Lepisosteus oculatus: one gene and its partners. The protein of the gene in region 2 interacts with the protein of the main gene of each other region in a pairwise test. Links are inferred from orthologs where the notes say so. Each region holds a gene or a part of one and is shown on either strand. Other genes may lie near its edges. The genes, in order: mkln1, ranbp9 and oprm1.

Region 1 (6,748 bases), on a different chromosome or scaffold from region 2:
TGAATGGCACTGGTCCTACACTTTTCAGCATACGAACACTCATTCATAATACTTATTAGACAAAGTAAAAACGTGGGAGGTACAGTAGATAAATGCTTCTGATCAATATGAGTCTAAAATGTTAGTTGTAGTTACATTTTGTTAGAAGCTGCTGCTCAAGTAAAGTGAATTTTAAGAATGAAATTTGGTTTTCCACATTGTTGAACATGAGAGTTTTTGGTTTTCAGAACACATCAGGAAATATGGTTATTTCCCCTGTATATTGTATTATTACTTTTCAAAATTTTTCTAACGGACACTAAGAGGACTACAATATGCCCCCATTGCTATCTGTATTTCTGTTGTTGTTGGAGGAAAAAATGACCAGTCTGTATGGCTTGCCTGAATTTTTCAAACAAGCTTTTGTTTGGAACAGAGGAAAAAGATGCACATGTTTTCATACAAAGATTCACAAGACTCACACAATCAGCTTCAGGTCTTGGATCAGAAACAAATGTGTGAAAAGTTCCTGGAATTCCCTTGCTTTCCTAACAGAAACCCCCATGTAGGGAAATTCAGGCCTTGCGGACAAAAGGCTTTCTGCCTTTCTTCTGCAGATAGTATGAAACTTTCCTACAACTGATGGGTGGTATCTCACTATTTATGTTTTAGTTTCATTATTGCACCTCTGAATAAATACTGTGTACTGCTAAGCTATGGAGAAAACATGGCAAATTTGGGCAAATACCGAAATCCAGAACAGTAAGACTTTGTACTATTTTTCTACTGCTCGTTTTTGGTGCCTGTTCTGTTCTTATATTCGGGGATTTCCAAGTAAAGGAAATAGTAAGGTTAACAAGCCAACCAAAATAACAAACCGCATTAATTTCAATTCTCATAAACATGTTTACATCTATAATTGTCTTGTCTTAAAAAAAAGAAAACATACTTAGTCATACTGTTATAAAAACAGGACAGAATATCTTATCTAAGTCAATTTCTCTGTCTTAGTTACATATGATAGAAAATAGTACTAAAGAGAAACTCTGTCAAGTGTGAAGTACAAATGCAATACCCTAATATGTACTGTGCCATTGCTTGCACATTATTATTTGGTTGTATGTTTTCAAAACACTGACTAGAACTTACTGTGTTCTCTAATTAGTCACATCACAGCTTTTCATGTTCTGGAGAATGTTGGCATTTTCAGTCAGTGTGATCTTACACTGGAAAGAAAATGATTGCATGATAAACTACAACCCTAGATCATGAACTGCGAATGATGTAACCCTATGTCATTGCAGATGACAGCATTGCAGGGTATTTACAAGCATCAAAAATATGTGTGCTGTGGAAAACATTCCTTAATGCCTTTTTAGCAAATCAATGAAACAAATCATTTCTATTAACTGTAACAGGGCAATACTATAAGTTTAACCACTATATAAATGGGGCTAATGTCTATTTAAAATATTGCCATGTTACATGAATCTTAACCTTTTGTCTATATTTTAGGCCTTAGGGATAATAATGAAGAAAGGTAGCAAAATATGATTGCTTACTTACTGTAAAAGCTTCATACCTTATTGATTTTTTATCTCCCTTTTAATACAACCATAAAATTGTAGTTTTTCTTAATAACAATAGGAAGCTGTAATAAGCCTTAAATGTAGTGAAGTAATCTATATATGTAAAAACAGTCCCATCAACACTAGGAGCCATTTTTAAGCTCTCACTATAGAAAACGTCTCTGCCTTAAAGTGGGATTGTGATAAGGAAAAAAATACTTTAGGAAAAAATAATTATTTGCTTCATATTGATAGAAAATAAAAGTAAAAAAAACATATATACCTCATAATGATTTATGAGGTATAAATCATTGGACTTTTTTGTAAACATGAACTATTCCTTCATTTACTTTTAAACCTTGATACTAAAGAAAAATCTGAGCTACAGTCGCCTCTGAAGCGGCCTTCTCCTCAGGAAAGTGTCCCAGCCCTAGTGAGCCTATGGGGGAAAAACTGTCACCTGCTACCCGAGCGACTGTTGGGGCTTCATTTGGGCCTAACAGATTAAAATACACGTTGCTATTCATACCGTTGTACTATGTTTTAAATTCTTAGCACTCCACAGATGTGCTGAAAATTGTCCAGGAAGCTTAAAAAGAAAAACAATCGACTTTGATCTTACGTGCGATTCATGCTGTACTTAAATATGGGTTTGTTCTTATTCTCGATTGACAGAAGATCCTGGTACTACCCTAGTAAATAATCTTAAAAAACGGCACCGCTACCCTTAAAACGTATCTTTCCTACTTTAAAGGTTTAATGTTATCTGCTTTAATCGGGGGAGATGGGAAACGACTTTAGGCTGGCATGACAAACAAATCATGAATTTAAAAATATATATTCTTATCTCCCGCGTCCAGGATTACTGGCTACAGATTAGCCTGAAACCACAGGCTCATTTTTTTCCTTTACTTGTCAGTTAAGTGCGATCGTACTGTCGTTTCACTGACGACCCAGCATCAAGCCAGTGAAACACCACTTACTGAAATATAACTTAAAGGTGAGAGAGCATTGGTATCTTGTATATTGTAGGTCTATATAGCAAAAATGTAATCGATTTATGAAATGTACCCGTTAATTAAGAAGTTTTTCTCAATAGTGTTTGTTTAGATCGCTACTTAAATAATAAAACTGCATTTTAATTTAGAAATACCAACACGTCGGCTGCCAACTGTGAAACGAACGGTAGTGTTTTTTTCTTTCTAGTGTAGCTTGTGTGACATTTATAGAGCTATATTTATACATACTGTATTGTCGTCCAGGTCGGTACCTTTAATTCCTGACTTTCAGGTGTTTTGATCATGGTAAGTACTAATTCGGTTTACACTTGTGAACTACAAACGTGCCAAATCGCAATTGGATTCTATTCTCTAAGGATTCAACATATAAATATGTTCAAAATACTACTAATCCCCAGCACATTTTGACCAAATAAAGTTGAAAGATTAGTGAGTACAATTTACATACTGTACCACCAGCCGTGACCCTAGTTTGCCCCTAACCTTGGGTGCAGTGTCTACTGTTAGATGTTATGTCATCAAACCCAAGTCCACTGTCACTTTAAGAGCTGTCGGCCTTCCTCTCCCATCTCTGCTGTTGTTCAACAAGATGGCGGCTAATCCAGAGAACAGAGTCCTCTGCTACAGTGTTTTTAAATGGAGCTCTTACTCCTCTACGTACCTACCAGAGTGAGTAATGCTTCACACACTTACCTATTTTTTTTTCTCTTTTATGTGCAGGTATGCGCATTTACGCGAATTTTTCGTTTAGTATTTCATAGTACTGGAATCCATGGCCTAACACACACCCCTCCTGCGGAATATCCTGGCCTCTCAAATGCGTTTTTTAAAAACAAAATGCAAAACGTAAACAAACATTCTTAGATAGGTGAATGCTCGTCAAATATATTTTAAGTACGTTTTCAAACGGTTTGCTTTACTGTTTATGCAAAGGGAGATTCAGTGCATTTTGTTTTAAAAGAAAGGCGAAAATAGAATGATCTAGTTTGCCGGGGAAATAATGCACAGAGGCCTTGTTTTAAACAACAGAGTTTCGAATTGGATTATTAAACTTGGAATTTGTGCTTTTCTTACGAAGATGTAATTGAATTGTTGAACCTGCTAGGAGATGACAGGCAGTTTGGAGGCGTTCAGATAGTGTTTTTCGTCAACTTGCCCGCTTGGTAATTTGATACGACCAAGTATCAACATTGTTATTTATGTTCAACACCAGGTCAACATACAAAAATTTAAAAGATAAAATATACTCATTCTTGTACGGTGCCTTGTTTTTTTATATGTGCAAACACACAATACAGTGACTAATATGCCTTAAAAGGCTCAAAATCCATAGAAAAGTTCAATTGAAATCCAAACAAGACTTGGCTATATTAATTTTGTGATAGAGTATTTTTCTTTGTGATATTTGTCTGCATTTACAGCATTAAGTGACTGTGATATGAAGTCCTCAAAACCGTGTTGTGTTTTTTTAAAAAAGGCTCACATTTTACTGTTATGTGGATCTCTGGAGTAAATTTGTAGCCTGCCTTAGGTGGTTATCAATGCACGGTACCACAGCTTTATTTTTTCTCATATTTTTAAAGTAACTCAGTAGTAAACGTCCAAAAATTTAAATTGGTAATATAAGATAATTACAGTACTTTAAAAAGGGCACAGTAGCTTGGAGAGCTGGGTAAAGATTTAGGATACACAAACTATTACGTTTAAAGTGCTTGTCTAGATGTAAGTTGTATATTGGGGCTTTGAATAGATTGTGAACTTGGAATGTCTTGTAAATGCATCTTAAAGCACTAGGCTTGTGCATCTCACACTGTGTATTTTTAAAGAAGGAAACTGCAGAGTAAAACTAGCTGTTCTTAAGGTATAAAATTGCTGCTAGTGACATGGAAACAAATATAACTTGCCTGTTGTAGTATATTGTCTGATTATTTCTTTTAATTTTGAGGGGAAATGGTAGCTATCTATTACAGTGTGAAAACCTTAGAAAATGGCTTCTTAATCTATTTTACAAATACATTTGCCTGATTTTAGTGAGTACTGCAATAAAGCCGTCCATTTTTTCTTTGCCAAGAACTGAGAGAATTTGTGTGCTGAACTAGTGTCAGCTGACTTGTATGGTCAGGTAAATATATTGTTTTATTAATCACTAGTTGGTTTCATAGATGTTTTTTAGTGCCTATCAACTTGTACCTGAAATGTGAACAGTGATTGCAGTTTGTCTGCATTTAATCAAATTAAAATTGTATATAAAGCATAAGCTTATATATATATATGTTAGTTCTATCCATGTCTATCCTAACTGAAGTGATTTTGAAAAGTGCATCTTTATTAGTTTCAGCTTTAAAGGTGTTGTAGATCCCCTTTAGGCAGCACAGGAGAGGTTTAGTCGAATTTGTGGGGAGTTGTTTTCCTTAACTTAGGCACAGTGTTTACTGTTGACGTCAGTGGACTGTAAGTCATTAACCTTTATTCATGTCTTTGTTAGCTATGTGTCTGAGAGTCAGTTTTGAAGTTCAATACCATGTTCTTTGAACTTGTCAAGAGTTTGATGCTTGTTTAAAACGTAGGCATCTAGGGCCGCTTGTAAATAAAGTAGTTGTATATTCTCATCAATAGGTCAAAAATCAATTTCACCTGAGGAGGGAAAGCACACAATTTTTTGCCAAAATTCCTGTAGTGCTTCAGGAAAATACCACTCTTATTTGTGTGAGAAATTATGTTAAACCTGCCAAAACATTCTAGATTTACTTGGTAAAAGAGCTTTGTGTGTGGTTTGTTTATGTATTTTTTCCTTTCCAAATGCCTTGTGTCACCAGGTAGATCTAAACTACCAGTAATCCCATTATTAATAAATTATCCGCATGAGACTTTATTTGTATATGTCTTGGTCTTACAGGGTATGATTTAATGGCTAATGATTTGACCATGTGCTTCAGTATTAGACATTCTAGTGCAAACGTGTATAATTTATACAAAAAAGACATTTTGACAATCCTATAGTATGTTTAAAAGAGGGTGTACTTATTGTATCCTACACTCCCACAAATCAAAGAAAGCTTTGTTGCTGTTTAAATGTTTTTTTATGACATTTTTCATATTTTCTTGCAAATAATGACAGTTAATTGGTATTCCAGGTACTGATGATGCTAAAGATGTTGTTAGTCAGAAGCCTATGATTTTGAAGGATGAATATACATTTGTCTACAACTGAATTTTCCACCAAATACATTTGCCTGGTTTTGTAGTGAATGCTGCAATAAAGTTAAATACAGATGCTAAAATCTCACTTTTTTTTTTAGGAATATTTTGGTGGATAAACCTAACGACCAGTCTTCCAGGTGGTCCTCTGAGAGCAACTACCCCCCACAGGTACTGTAAAACGATAATAGAATGGTCTTTCAGCCCATACTGTTTGATATGTAACTTTTTAATCTGTTTAATTTTTCATCAGAGTGTACCTGTCTCTCTTTCTCCTTTCTTTGTTTTCTTGTAAAGTGCTTTGCTATGATGTCATTGAGGGTGTTAGATTACTAGGAAATAGATTACTGATGTCTTTATGCTCTGCTGTATCAGTGTTGCACTGTGTAAGGCACTCAGTTATTTGAATGCTTTTGCATTTTTTAGACCTAGTTCAAGCTATTGAGAGAGGTTTTTGTTGCAAACATTTGATTGGTTATTACTTAAATAAGAAGTCAATAAATTCAGTAAATGTCTTTAAATCCCGAGAAGCTGCAATTACTGAGCTCTTTCGTGCTTTAGTATCTTAGTGTCATAGTGCTGGCATCATCCCATGCCATTTCTCTTGTAGTTGAAGAGATAATTAAAGCCTGCTCTTTTCTCTTCACCACATTTCTTCCTCATTTCCCTGTCTGGTAAACCTCTGTTTAGTAATATTGGAAGCTTTAAAAAGGTTAAATTATGAGATTTCTAGTTTGGCTATTAAACTTCAGCAACTTGTGGTGTTTTGAAGACATGTCCTGTGGTTAAGGGCATAGGAAATCGAAAGTGGAAAATAGAGCCACTTACTGTTTAAATTAACACTCACTTTGTTCTCTTTTTTTTACCATCTTTGCCAGTGTTAGTACGATTTTATTGAATATTGTTGTTTCTTATATGGCAAAAGTGCGTAATTTATTAAAATTTTAATCCTTTGGCCAATCAAGGCTGTGATGAGTAGGAATG
Region 2 (6,748 bases):
GAGTTCACATGGGTTACCCCCTGGGAGCTCAGGTTTCCTCCCGTAGTCCAAGGACATACTGGCGGGAGCATGGGCGTTTCTGTCTGTGTGTGCCCTCCAATGAAACAGCATCCCATCTGGGATGTATCCTGCCTCGCAGCCAGTCGCTTGCCAGGATAGGCCAGGGTTTGAATTTCGGCGCGGGATAGTGGCGGGTATGCCGCACAATTCGAGCTATTCCCGCAAATCCGCCATTTATACACGATGGTCATACCACCAAAGCCTGCCTTTGACAGCGTGAAAAGCAGATATGTGGGTTGCTTGATGAGGTAGAGGATAAAAAAATAATCATCCTTACCCTAAGTTATGTTCTTGTACCTTTAATGGAGAGGTGGCTGGCAATGAAAAACAGATTGCCAAGCTAGGCCTGTATTTACAATGAACTTAGGAAGCTCGTGTCGTGTATGAACTATTTCGATACATTTGTTTCCTTAGTCAACTATTATTGCCCCCCAAGCTGCTGAAATCCCCCCCCCCCCAACCATGAGCTTCATGTAAAGGGGGAATTCCCCCTAATTTTCAAAAATGAATTTCAAGCCCTGATAGGCCCCAGCTGCCTGCATTGGATAAAGTGGTTTGAAAATGGAAGGACTCCTTCAGATACTATACACAGCACTCAAATTTTAAAAGCAGTGCATTTTGAGCACTATAGTCCAGCCATCACCAGACTATGTCATTAGCCAAGTGTTACATAGAAACGCCTCCTGTGTACTGTTGGGAATTAGAGGGCTGGAGCTGAGCAGGACACCCATAGCTTGAGGTGCCATAGCAAACTCTAAGGCTTGCCAGTACAGAGTGTGTTGTCAGGGAGAGCTGCAACAGTCCTCTGGGCACTCAGTGCAAAATATGGCAGGTGGCTCTGACAGCACATGTTTTGGAGCATAGCCTGCATTTCATAACTCCTCCCATGCAGTTAAGAATACGAGGGTCAGAGTTCCAAGCCAAGCTGATCCACAACCATTCCAACTTGGGGCGAGAGCAAAATGGAAAAATAAGCAGCCATTCCAAATCTTAAAATAATTAAAAATAATACAACCGACAGACCAAGTAGCGGGCCTGAAGGGGAAAAGAATGAAATGACCAGTCATTAGGCTATTTCTAAAACAGACAAGAGGATGCAGACAGATGTGCGAGCTTGGAGACCCTGGACAGGAATCTGAAGTGTTAAAGTCCAACACAGCTTTAGCAGCTGGTGAACTTGGGAAGCATGTGAAATGCTGAGGAGTCTTAAACTATGTGAATACTGACTGGCAAACAAGACTTCAAAATTCAAAATCCAATTACACTACACCAATTTTTGTGGATTTCAATTTGGAAATTCAACACTTTTCAGTTTTCCGATTGTCACACTTCGAAAACATTTTTACACCAATGTATCAGAGCAATGAGAGCAATGAGAGCATGGATATATACATTGACATTCTGTAAATGATATATTTAAGTTAGCCTGACATTAACCAATTTCCTGGTATAAATTAGAAAAATACATCTGCATATTTTGCATACCCTAAAGGTAAAATACAGCATACGTTTTTTTTCTTCTGAAAAGCAATACAAAATCAAACAGACTTCCTACTCAGTACTAAAATGTGTAGCGAGCTCATGTTAAATTGTGCAATTAAGGCAATTAGTTCAATTCGTTTTTTAATTCAAATTAAAGTAGAATGTAAAGAAATGAAATGTGTCCGTGTTTTCACGTCATTTTCAAAGAAATTAAGGAAACTGGCCCCTAAGAAACTACACCCTGTTAATGAAAATGTCCAAATGAAGTCCTGTAAAGCAGTTAAAAAACAGAAGTAAAATAATTGAAAGACCTTTTTTCAAAAAATCATTAAATGTCTAATGCTTGAATCATGCTGGTGTCATGCCATATCAAATTCAAAAATTAAATGATAAAATTGTGTTAGAGGAATAACACCTGTCATTGGTGGATCTGTCTTTACCAATCTGTTAAAGCCAGCTCCCCAATCTTCCTAAATAGACTTGCCACAAAATGTTTTAATACAGTTTTCTACATTTTAAAATGACAATCATTTTTTCATGTATAGTATGCAACCCTCTACTATACTGTACATACGAAACACCTTATTAAATGAGTGTCCAAATCCCAGAGGAACACAGAATCTTCTGTACTTCCTATCACTTAAATGGCCCAGGTATTTTGCTAACTAGTCATTTTTAAAAATATTTTCAAGTCTCAAAACACTTCATAGCTACTGTATATTAAATTAAAGGCTGGCCCTTGCCATGTATTATTTTAAAATATGCATAAAATAAGTATTAAAAAAACAACTGAATAATGTTCAATGTGAGAAAATAAACAGATTACCGAATTAAAGGATTCAAATGGATTACAGAAGGAGCAAGCCCCCAAGTTCGATACCCTAGCCATAAAATCTACATTCTCACAAATCCTTGGGGGATAGTATCACCCCTTCCTCCCCAAGTCTGTAAAAAATATAGAATATCTGTGTTTTTTAGAGAAAAAAATAACTACATCAAAGACAAACGAAAATTAAGCAACACCTGTTAACAATCAGAAGACTTATAAGAAGAGGGGTTATTTATAGCATCTGTGTGCTCTCAGTGAAATTGATAGGCTGCTTCTTGTGTTCACAGTAACAATAAGAGCCACTCTGGTCAGCTTTATTCATCTCAGAGGACTATGCATGAGAAAATTCACACACTCTGGTCTCTCTTCCTGTTGTTTCAAGGCCTAGTGCAGCTCTTAACACTCATGTAACACCCAACATCCTTAACAATACAGTTCATTGTACAACCCTTAGCACTGCTCTGCTGTGTGTACTCTCTCCAAACCGTCCTGAGAACCACTTAGTACATCGTCTGTGGTTTTCTGGTTAAAAGCAAGACAATAAATTCTCATGAGAACACAATGTCTAGTTTGACACTTTTGAACAGATCAACCACACATGTATTATGATAATCCTTCTATTCGGGAAATGTGTGTATATTACGAACGAACAGTAGTTACACATGTGTACAGGCCTGTCCAACTGTCTCATAAACTGCGGCAAATGCAGGACAACTGAAGATGCTTAAAAATAATCGGTTTGACAATAAAGTGTTCTAGGGCAGACACCATATGTATATTTTTTGAACAGAACAAATATCAGACTCCTTCTGAACATCTGAACTTAGATACAGTCTCTGCGCAGTCCTCTCCCAGCTGTTTCGCTGGCTTTGTTCATGTTTATGTAACTAATCCTGAAAAACTGGGTTGAGCAATCTTGCTCTGCGTCTTACGGCAAGTACAGTAGTCGGTAGCTAAAGAACCATCCCGTATTTGTTTTTCCTCTACGGCCCAGAGTTCATTGTAATATATGAGCAACAGGAAAACCCGATCTATAGGTTTTTTTTTTAGATCACCACTCGACAACTGATCGAAAAAAAGTAAAAATATATGATAACACCAAATAATGTCGTATCACATTTTGTTTATATATATATTACACATAGCACAGTAACAACGAGCCAAAGCTGCCGTGACATTTAAAATAACACGGGTTATTTTACAACGATCGCAGTCACTATTTCGTTGCTGTTCAGGCCTGCACCAAAGATGTCTCGGCTTGTTAGCTATAGACTACAGAGGCCGCGTCTTTGTACCCCTTCCTGATGCGGGGATTGCTTGTTTTTTATTAGCATTTTTCTTTGTCGGTGGGTATTAAATCTTTGCCTGGGGTACGCTTGGAAAGTACACGTTTGTTGGAAGACACGTCACTCTCGCAGCCCCCCTCCCCTCCGTACCTTTGTAATGCACCCGGAGATTGTTCTGGGAGAGACCGATGTAGCTGAACTTGTCCTTGGGGCTCCAGGATCGGGGCAGCGGGGTCTCCTGCTCGTTCACCGCCGGATACAGCCGCCTGAGCCGCTGGTTCAGCTCCCTTTCCTGCTCGTTGAGCGCTGAGTCCCCATGAACCACAACCGACATCAGAAACCCACAGCCCGATGACTGCCCGGACATGGCGATCGGGATTGTTTTTGTCTATTAAAAAAATACTAAATAACTACAATAACAACTACAACAATAAATTAATTTTTACTAAATGCCGCAAGAAGGAGGGAAAAGGGCTACTAGTTTAAAACAAAGCAAATAATCTGACGGACACAATTAAAACCAGACATGGACAGATAGCTCTTTTGTTTGTTGTTAGTGCATGATCCCCAGATCTGATTGGAGCCCACAAGCTCCGGTCAAACTAAAAAAACACACTTCTCCCTCTGCCAGGCGCGACTAATCAATGCTCCACTGCGCGATCCCCCCTTCCCCCCTATTTTTGAAGAAAATAGTCGAGAAGCAGAACAGACATAAGTAGCAGATTTAAATAAAATATATTATTATTCCTCAAATTAAATTACAGTGCATTGATAAATTCAGAAGTGACATTGAAACGAATGCTTACTAACAGTACAATATTAATCTTTGTCGTCATCAACATCATCATCACATAATTCATCATAATTAGGTTGTAATAACGAGGAGGTTATTTTATATCACTATTGTATAATGCGTGTGATTTGAAAACTAAAATGTGGTTACACTAAATCTTCTACTTAGCACCGTCGTTGCAATTTCAGTGCAAAAGGTTCCAGTCCAAAACCAGCAGGGAGAGATACATTACAGCAACAGTTTTAAAGATACAGTTTACATTCTTCTAGCAATTTAATGAAAATTTAGAGAGTGAACTGGTGAGCATTTTAAACCAACATCATTTGACACCAACTGCAATCTCCACTAGGGAGAAACAGAAATAATTGAAGGTTGTTTTCACTGACCACCATCTGGGTTTAAGAGCAACACTAGTTTCAGTTCAATATACAGTATTAGATATATCACAAAACTGTATGTATATATGCAGTTTTATTGTTTTTCATAAACAGACCTTCCATTACTCCAAGCAGCTTAAGGTATAGCATGATTTATGTACACATACATATATTTTTATATTTTTAAATAGATTCGACAAAATGTACAGTATGTGTACAGTGGCTTGCAAATTTATTCAGACTCTTAACAACTTTTCAAAGGGTGCTGGATCACAAATAATACACATCTTCTTCAATCAACATTTTTATTGCACACTCACATGCTCAAAAACAATTTACTTCAAATTTGTTTAGAAATTTCAGCAGATATCTCAAAGCGAGACAAAAACTGAACTATGCTGCTTGCATAAGTATTCAGACCCCACACATTAATATTTGGTGGAGCCACCATAGGCCACCTTAAGTCATTTGGGGTAGATGTCTAACAGCTTTGCACACTGATTAGACCTGATGTTCTCCCATTCCTCTTGGCAGATTGGTTGTAGCTCATTCAGGTTTATTGGATAGTGCTTGTGGACCACAACTTTCAAATCATACCATAGATTTTCCATGGAGTTTAGGTCAGGACTTTGAGCCACTCGAGGACATAAGATTTTTATTCTTGATCCACTCCAATGTTGCTCCAATGTCCTTTACAGCTTTTCAAATGTTGCTGGATTACAAATGATACACACACGCCTTCTTTCCTATCAGAAGTTATGTGTTAGGGGCACTGTATATATATGATATACATCAAGTGGAGAACTGCATCAGTGTGTGTTGGCTGCAAAGGAACAAGTAAAGGTCAATTCCACACTGAAAAATAGAAATACAACTTTTTGGCTGTTGATCCTTTTTCTTTTGACTCGCAAATGAAGATGGCTCAACAGGAGAAACACTGTATTTTGTTTTCCTATTTTATTTGTTCTTATTAAAATACATCTGCATCTTTCCGAGCTGAAAAAGAAATGTTCAAATAATTCTATCAACTAAGTAAGGGCTTATAACAGAAGCCAGAAGGTGCTTCAGCCTTGAGGAAATTGAGTGTGGCAGCCCTGCTTTAGAGAATTAATTATATATTATATAGAATTATATGAATTATATTATTATATAAACATTTATGTTATATCAGGTGTTCAAATTCCTTTTGTCCTTCTTGACAGCTTCTAGATTTACAACGGTAACCATTAATTTAAACACATAACATTCCTTGCATCATATTGCAGAGGTTTTCTGTAATGAAGTGTTTAAAGGTAAAATGAACTAATTTCTCAATTTTTACATTATTCCCTTAATCCATTTCTCATTTGTGACAAATCTTATTACGTGCTGCTTTGGGTAACTTCTCTGAAACTCTGTGGTAAGTTAGCAAGTTCAAATTTTAGCTACAGTTTTCTTCTGTAGACATTCTGCACAAACATGGTATCTTGCCAGTAATGAATAGCAAACGTTAGCATCTATGTTATTGTACTATGCGTAAGTACAATAAGTAAAAACATAGGGTAAGTGAAATGGAAACAATACTAGGTTGAAAATACAAACTTGTCATGGTAAACTTGTACAATTATCAGCTGTTGTTTGTGCACAGAAAACATTTCTCACATGAAGACTTTTGCAGAGCCCTATGGTGACTAAAGTGGAGGAACTACCATGAGAAAGTAAATTAAATATTGCAATACAGTGAGTCCTTTACAAATAAATAATACAAAAAATACTCCACCACCACCAATGTGTAGCCCCCACCTGGATGATGTGACAGCAGCCACAATACTCACAGAACACCCACCACACACTCCCCAGCTATCATTAGGGAGGAGAACAAAGTAATGAAACCAATTCATAGATGGGGATTGTTAGGAGGCCATGATTGGTAAAACACATT
Region 3 (6,748 bases), on a different chromosome or scaffold from region 2:
AACTGCTCAGTGGTACAAAGCACATGCTAAAGTAGTTAAAACAGAACCTCCAAGTGTTAAGAAATTATCTGTTAATTAATTGTAAGTGTAACGAATTAATTGTAATATTAATTAATTATTTGAGGGTGACCTCCCTAAAACCTCCCAGATTGTGCCTCTCCATGAAGAAAATTGTTGAGCAAGGAGATGACCATAATAATTACTAATTACTGTACTTACTATGGAGAATAAGGTGATCTCTATTGCTTGGAGGAGTACTGTAAATTACTGAAAAACTGGTGTTTAATACAAGACTAATAAATCATCCTGACCATGGCCCCTAAATGTAAATTACAGGTCCTACTACTAAAAGAAAAATGCTTGGTAACAGTTACAATATTAATAATTCCTTACATCACCTTTAAATCATGCTTTTTATTCTGAAGCACTCTAAGTGGTTTACATACTGCCTGGTGGGGACTCACTTCCCCCACCTGGCCGACACACTGTGGCCCCCCTGCACAGCAGGCCTGGCGCCGGAGTGAGAAATCACTTCACCAGCAGAGCTGAGGTGGAATTTAAGGAAGGCCAGATTGTACACGCCCTGACAGGACTGTAGCCAGGACGCTGGGGTTAACGCAACTGCATGGATCTTTCCCTGGACAAGAACCCTGGGACCCCTGGATTAAAGTCTCTTCTGAAGGACAGTACCCCGACAGCGGTGTGTCCCCTGTCTCCATGCTGGGACATTGGGTTGGAAATGCTGGCCCAGAAGGAAGAGCGCCACCTACTGGGCCACTACCTCCACCAGGACTGGTCTCCCACCCAAGTCCCCACCAGGCCCAGTATTGCCAAGTTCCCAAGATCAGATGAAGTCAGGCTGCAAGGTAGCAAAATAAAATCCTTGTCTCACCACATTATTTCCTTAATTGACAGAGGTTACAGAGTAAATATAATCAGGGATTTCACAGTACTTCAGTCAACATGTAAAATCCGTAGCTAAAACATTTGGGATTTTGTGAAACCTCTAACTTCATGTTCTTCTTTTAATGATTATGGCTTATAGATCATTTGAAAATAGTGCACTGGGAAAAACCTATTTTTTAAAAGACCAAGAAATACTTGCCATCTGCCATATCACCCTGCAACTCACAACTGGCAGCCCACTGAAGCTCAGCAGGTGTGAGCCTGGTCAGTACCAGGAGACCTCCTGGGGAAAAACTAAGGTTGCTGCTGGAAGAAGTGTTAGTGGGGCCAGCAGGGGGCGCTCACTCTGTGGACTGTGTGGGTCCGAATGCCCCAGCATAGTGATGGGGACAATATACTGTCCTTCTGATGAGTCAATAAAGTGAGGTCCTGACTGTCAGTGGTCATTACAAAATCCCAGGGTGTTTCTCATAAAGAGTAGTGGTGTAACCCCAGTATCCTTTGCCAAATTTCCCATTGGGACTTACTTATAATGGCCTCCTAATAATCCCATCTATGAACTGGCTTCATTACTCTGTTCTCCTCCCCACTAAGAACTGGTGTGTGGAGAGTGTACTGGTGCATCATCCAGGTTGGGCTGCACACTGGTGGTGGAGGAGAGTCCCCATTACCTGTAAAGCACTTTGAGTGGAGTGTCCAGAAAAGTGCTATATAAGTGTAAGGAATCATTATTATTGTTATTTAGTCTTGGTGATGACTGTCGAAAAGGATGAAAAAACAAAGTAAACACTATCAGGCACAGAATAATTGAACAATGATTACTCTGAAGCTTAACATAGTCCTGGGTGAAGCTGAAGTTCCATCCTTTACAAAAAGCAAAATGCTGGTTTGTAGATCTGTGCATTTCTATAAGGCTGAAGAAATCTTTGCTATACCTGTTCTGGTAACAATATTTTCTGGGGGAAAAGCACTCAGCTGTACTAAATGAAAACGACCTGGAGGGCTTTTGTATTTCCTATGTCACTACTGTATATCACTGTGTCACCATGTCACCATGTCACTAATGTCCCAGTGACCGGCTGTATTCAATGCAAGCTCTATTGTCCCCTGGGGAAAATCTGTTTTGTGGCCGAGTCCAACTCAACAAAAACAAACATCGCCAACAAAATCCAGGACAACATTTCAGGGGATAAAAAGAAACATTTATTAGTGTATTCCTTTCTTCCTGAAAACAGGTGTATTTCTTTTTTTAAAAAGCAGCAGAAGGTTATAGTAGTGAATAAATGCAAGGATCAACTTGTAATATAGTGTGTTTGTGAAGTTGCATCATGCAGCTAACCCAGTAAAACAAGCCTGGGAAGGCTGGTGTTGGACAGAAATAAAAGCCTCAGACACTGAATTTGAGGCTTTTGTTGACTGAATCTGGCTTAAGTGGGGGAAAAAGTGAGAACATGCTGGGCAAAGAACAGTGAGACAAATGTCATTTGCCTAGTGGCAGTAGCAATGACTGTGTCACTGCAGACAGGTGCCCTGTTCCTGACGGGCTTACATCTCTCCTCTCCCCAAGTCCCCCAGTCTTGTTTGTCTACAGCTTGTCCTCATTATAGAATAGTGGTTTTGCGTTCAAATTCAGGAAAGGACGCCCCAGTTGTACCCTCGGTAAAGGAACCGCATCTCACCTGCTGTATCGTCTGTGTAAATGAGAATTGGCTCTCGGTATTTAACTTCACCCGTTAAATAAAGGATAGCATCACATCATTCGCGATTCTTTGTCTAAAGCAATTGGAAACTTGAAAAGATTACGATTGCTGGCGACGAAATCTACATTGCGACTTTCCCGGAGCAGTCAGTGCACTTGGCTGATTGTGTTTTAATGACAAGACCTACTTTAATAAACTGTCTCCAACAAGAACGGCTGTTAAATAACTCTGCATGCAGCCGGAGTCTGGAGAGGAATGCGGGTGGTGGGGGTAGCGCGTACGACCTGGCGAGACGAGATCTTATTATTGCTTCCAGAAATAATAGCCAAGGCTGTTTATACGCGGGGTACTGTACAGTATACAGCTGTCCCGAGTGGTTGATGTCTTAAACACACGACGCTCTTCTATGCATACTATTGTTTGTGCAGGAGAAAGTTGATTTCTTATTCAGAGAGAAGTCATCCCAAGAATCAAATCAAGATAATGTCAGAACACGCATTTACAAAGCATCTTTCATATCTGCCTGGCTGCCCTTCACAATCAGCATAAGCTGTAGACAGGTGCATAGATACCGGCCACTGTTATTACGAGCTCGGTGTCTCCAGTAATTGCCCACAGGAACTTCAGGCACTTAAGCAGGACCAGATAAACGCTTTCGTTTCGGTGTCTACTTCCACTCCTCCACTTGGACTGGAATGCTTTAATCATGAGCAAAGGAGAACGGGAGACTTAACTCTTGTAAATATTGCGCACGCCGCCTTTTCTTTGACAGCTACTGTACACATCTGTCTATCCGGTCCGGCGCTGCACTAATGGTTCGTGAACAGAAAGCCCGAAAAGTTGTGCTTCAATGTCCCTTTGACTAAGGCTAAGATAAACGCATGCACTGCAATATCAATCAAACTCAACTCAGTTATAAACTATACGAGTACAGATTTTTTCTTTGCTTTAATGACCACTAACCAGAACGAATATGAGTTTGGTTTATTCTAATGTGCGTTATCTTCCAGGATTAAAAAGCCGTAATTTTGTAAGGAATGGAAACCCTCGGAGTTAAGGGCGGTTCACGGTTAGTTGTCATAGCAATCCAGTGTTACCTTGACCGCAGCTGCTAACATGATCGCAGGTTCAGAGACCTTCCGAGCGCCTTACCTGATGATGACATACATGACCAGCACGTTGCCCACCAGTCCTACGACGCACACTATGGAATAGAGCGCTGTGATGATTATCGCGATGACCATGGGAGTCGAGCCCTTGTTCAGAGCGTCCGCCCTGTCACACTTTGACAGGTTGCCTTCCAGCAGTAACAGGTCGCTGAGGTTCCTGCAGAAATACGTGCCGTTCTGTAGCAGCGGGGAGGCAAGGTGATTCCCTGCTGCCGTGCCGTTGCCCGCACTCTCCATGATGGCACCGATCGATGAGGAAACCAATCGATCAATCAAGCGATCAATAAACGAATCAAGCAGGCAATTCGGGCTCGGAGCAGCTCAGCCGAAGAGTCTCTCTGTCTGTACCTCTGCGGGAAACGGCACTGCTTGGACTGTCGCTGTGCCCCCCTGCACGCAGGACCCGTTGCCTCAACACGTGTGGCAGGTACTGTAGCTAGTCAGCTCTCTGGATCTGCCGCCTGATTTGCAAATACTGTCGATCCTGTAGACACGCGTCTGGAGAGCCCGTAGTGTAACGTACAGCTGAAGCCGATCACTTTCACGTCGCGTTTTCTCGTTTTATCAAGCCACGTTACGTCACTTTATAAACCACATGACCACCCGACAGCCTTAAAAAAAAGGAATCTTGGTTTGAATTGATTATCAGCTGGAGAGTTTGTATTACGTCGATTTAAAAAACAGCCCCCAAGCAGATCATGCTGCGCTATCTGCTTTGCACCACGTACAGTAACAGCATCCCCACCACGGCCAAAAAATAATCCTTCTTTAAATCGGACGCCTGTTTGTGTGTAGGTTTTTGAAGCCTTTAATAATAATAATAATAATAATAATAATAATAATAATAATAATAATAATAATAATAATAATCACATTTATTAATACGTGTTACAAAAATCAAAAACAAAAAATACCTGGGGTTAATCAGGTTCTGAAATCAATTCCGTGTGTCTTTGGTTCTAGCGCAGTTTTGTGTTTATACAGTAAGAGTTACATTGGTGTTGTACATACTGTAGAGTTGTATTGCGCCTCAGTATTGAACTCAGATAGGAATGCTAGGTTTTGTCTCATGAGAGAAACTATGTTCATTGCACTTATCCACCCATTTGTAAAAATTCGCTTGTTCTTGTTATGGGTTTATTTTCATATGGATTTAATAGGCTGTTACTGATAATTCTTTCAAGAAATTGTTAAATCTAACGTTACTAAGACTTTAACATCCTCCTCCAAAAACACCTTTACATTACCCAATATTGTGTTAGAATTTGCAAATCACAAGGCTTGAGATGTCTCACATAATACGCTCGTCTCGGAGTGTGATTGATGACGCAATTAAAACATTCTGAATATTTAAACCCTCCGATGCCATTCCTTGGAACCGGATCCATTGTTTATATATTTTCGATGAAGGAAGTCCTGCAAAAAAAATCTATAGAAGGTATTTATAGAAGAACCCCAATAAAACGTGTGGAAATGTTTGTCTAGAGCACTCTGTGGCGAGATCTGAAACAAAGAAACTGAAACCTTTAAAAGGCAAAGGAAAAGGAATACTGAAGTTATATTGCGACTTCTTTTTATCTTTTTTTAAAGTGCAAAATCATCCATCCATTTTCGAATCCAGTCATCCAGTGCAAGGTTGCATGGGTAGCCGGAGCAAGGTGGGATACCCCCTGGGTAGGACACCACTCCATGGCAGGGCACGATAAAGACACAAACACACGCTCACACCAAGTGCCAGTTTACCTACCGACATGTCTTTGGACTGTGGAAGAAAACCAGAGCAGCTGGAGGAAACCAACAGGCACACAGGGAGAACATGCAAACTCTGCACAGATAGCACCCCAGAAACTGAGATGTCAGCAAAACCTGCAAAGTAAATACACAAAGTGCAATGTATTGATTGCGTTAAGTATTCTGCCACCTAAGGCTCATTTGGCAGCAACGATTTCTGTCAGTATTTTTGGGTAGGTCTCCATCACTTTGCATGGTTGGATGGTGCAATTGTGTTCAGTCATCCTAGCACATTCTTTAAAGGGGATCGCTGATGGACTGCAATCGTCAACAGCCATTTTCTATGGGATTCAAGTTGGGCTCGAACCTGAGACTGAAGCTGAAGTCCTTGAGTCAGAACTGATCAAGGCATTCACACCCCAGCTGAGCTGAGATAAGAGGGCTGTCCTTTTAATCACTCAAAGGACCGTGGCAAAAAAAGAGGATTCCAGAGGGGGTCCCATGTAGGAAGAAAAAGAGAGAAAACCATCTTACCTATGAAAAGAGCTTGTAAGCTGATGAGCTGCATTCTTGTTAGTGGTAGTATTGACAGTGTAGTCAGTGAACATCTCCTGTATCACCAGGGTTAAAGATCCATTTCATAAGCTCAAGAATTGAGACCATATCTGGCAAAGAGTGAGGACTACTTACTGTGAGCCTGCTGAGCGATAGACAGGCTATCAGTACTGAAGAGTCTGCTTATTCATTGGTATGAAAGAGCAGAACAAACAAGCCAAAAATCAGCCGAGCTCGGAGTGAGAATCCAAACGAGCAGCTTCAGGACAGCAGCCGGGCCTCTTCACTGCTTTGGCAGGGCGCTGAGATCTGGGTGCTATTGGCAACGCCGGGGCTCTGCTGAGGGGAGTGAAGAGACCAGAGCTGGGCTCACATGTGGGCTGGGAGGAAATCGGCAAGAGGTACTTCAACATCAGTAGAAACCTGATCTCCAGTAGCGAAGAGAAATTAAGGCTGTTGCAGTAATATATAAGGACTTCAAGCATATGAGCCCTTTAATTCCAGGATGCCTTCTAACACCCTTTCTTCGAAATAGTAGCTTGATTCAGAAGCAGCTGAATCAAGAAACAGGTCTATTTCTAAATGCTGTTTTTGTTTCGGATCATCTGATCTACCGATTTCAGGTGTAGTGCCACTATTTCCCCACACCAGTTTGCATCGGGCATTCTGCGACTTGCGATATTTTAT

The links.
Region 1: the proteins of ranbp9 (region 2) and mkln1 interact in a two-hybrid assay, tested with the Homo sapiens proteins (2 studies listed by BioGRID). The link is inferred for Lepisosteus oculatus from reciprocal best matches to the Homo sapiens genes RANBP9 and MKLN1.
Region 3: the proteins of ranbp9 (region 2) and oprm1 interact in binary tests that used the Homo sapiens proteins (3 or more experiments, as listed by UniProt). The link is inferred for Lepisosteus oculatus from reciprocal best matches to the Homo sapiens genes RANBP9 and OPRM1.

The regions. Positions count from the first base shown.
Region 1 is NC_090702.1:43,870,759-43,877,506, forward strand, and holds the start of mkln1 (muskelin), read left to right. Parts: upstream 1-3,117; 5' UTR 3,118-3,155; coding exon 3,156-3,235; intron 3,236-5,865; coding exon 5,866-5,935; intron 5,936-6,748. UniProt on the Homo sapiens protein: Component of the CTLH E3 ubiquitin-protein ligase complex that selectively accepts ubiquitin from UBE2H and mediates ubiquitination and subsequent proteasomal degradation of the transcription factor HBP1.
Region 2 is NC_090701.1:20,159,615-20,166,362, reverse strand, and holds the start of ranbp9 (ran-binding protein 9), read right to left. Parts: upstream 4,347-6,748; 5' UTR 4,025-4,346; coding exon 3,808-4,024; intron 1-3,807. UniProt on the Homo sapiens protein: May act as scaffolding protein, and as adapter protein to couple membrane receptors to intracellular signaling pathways. Acts as a mediator of cell spreading and actin cytoskeleton rearrangement.
Region 3 is NC_090712.1:1,882,485-1,889,232, reverse strand, and holds the start of oprm1 (mu-type opioid receptor), read right to left. Parts: upstream 4,013-6,748; coding exon 3,759-4,012; intron 1-3,758. UniProt on the Homo sapiens protein: Receptor for endogenous opioids such as beta-endorphin and endomorphin. Receptor for natural and synthetic opioids including morphine, heroin, DAMGO, fentanyl, etorphine, buprenorphin and methadone.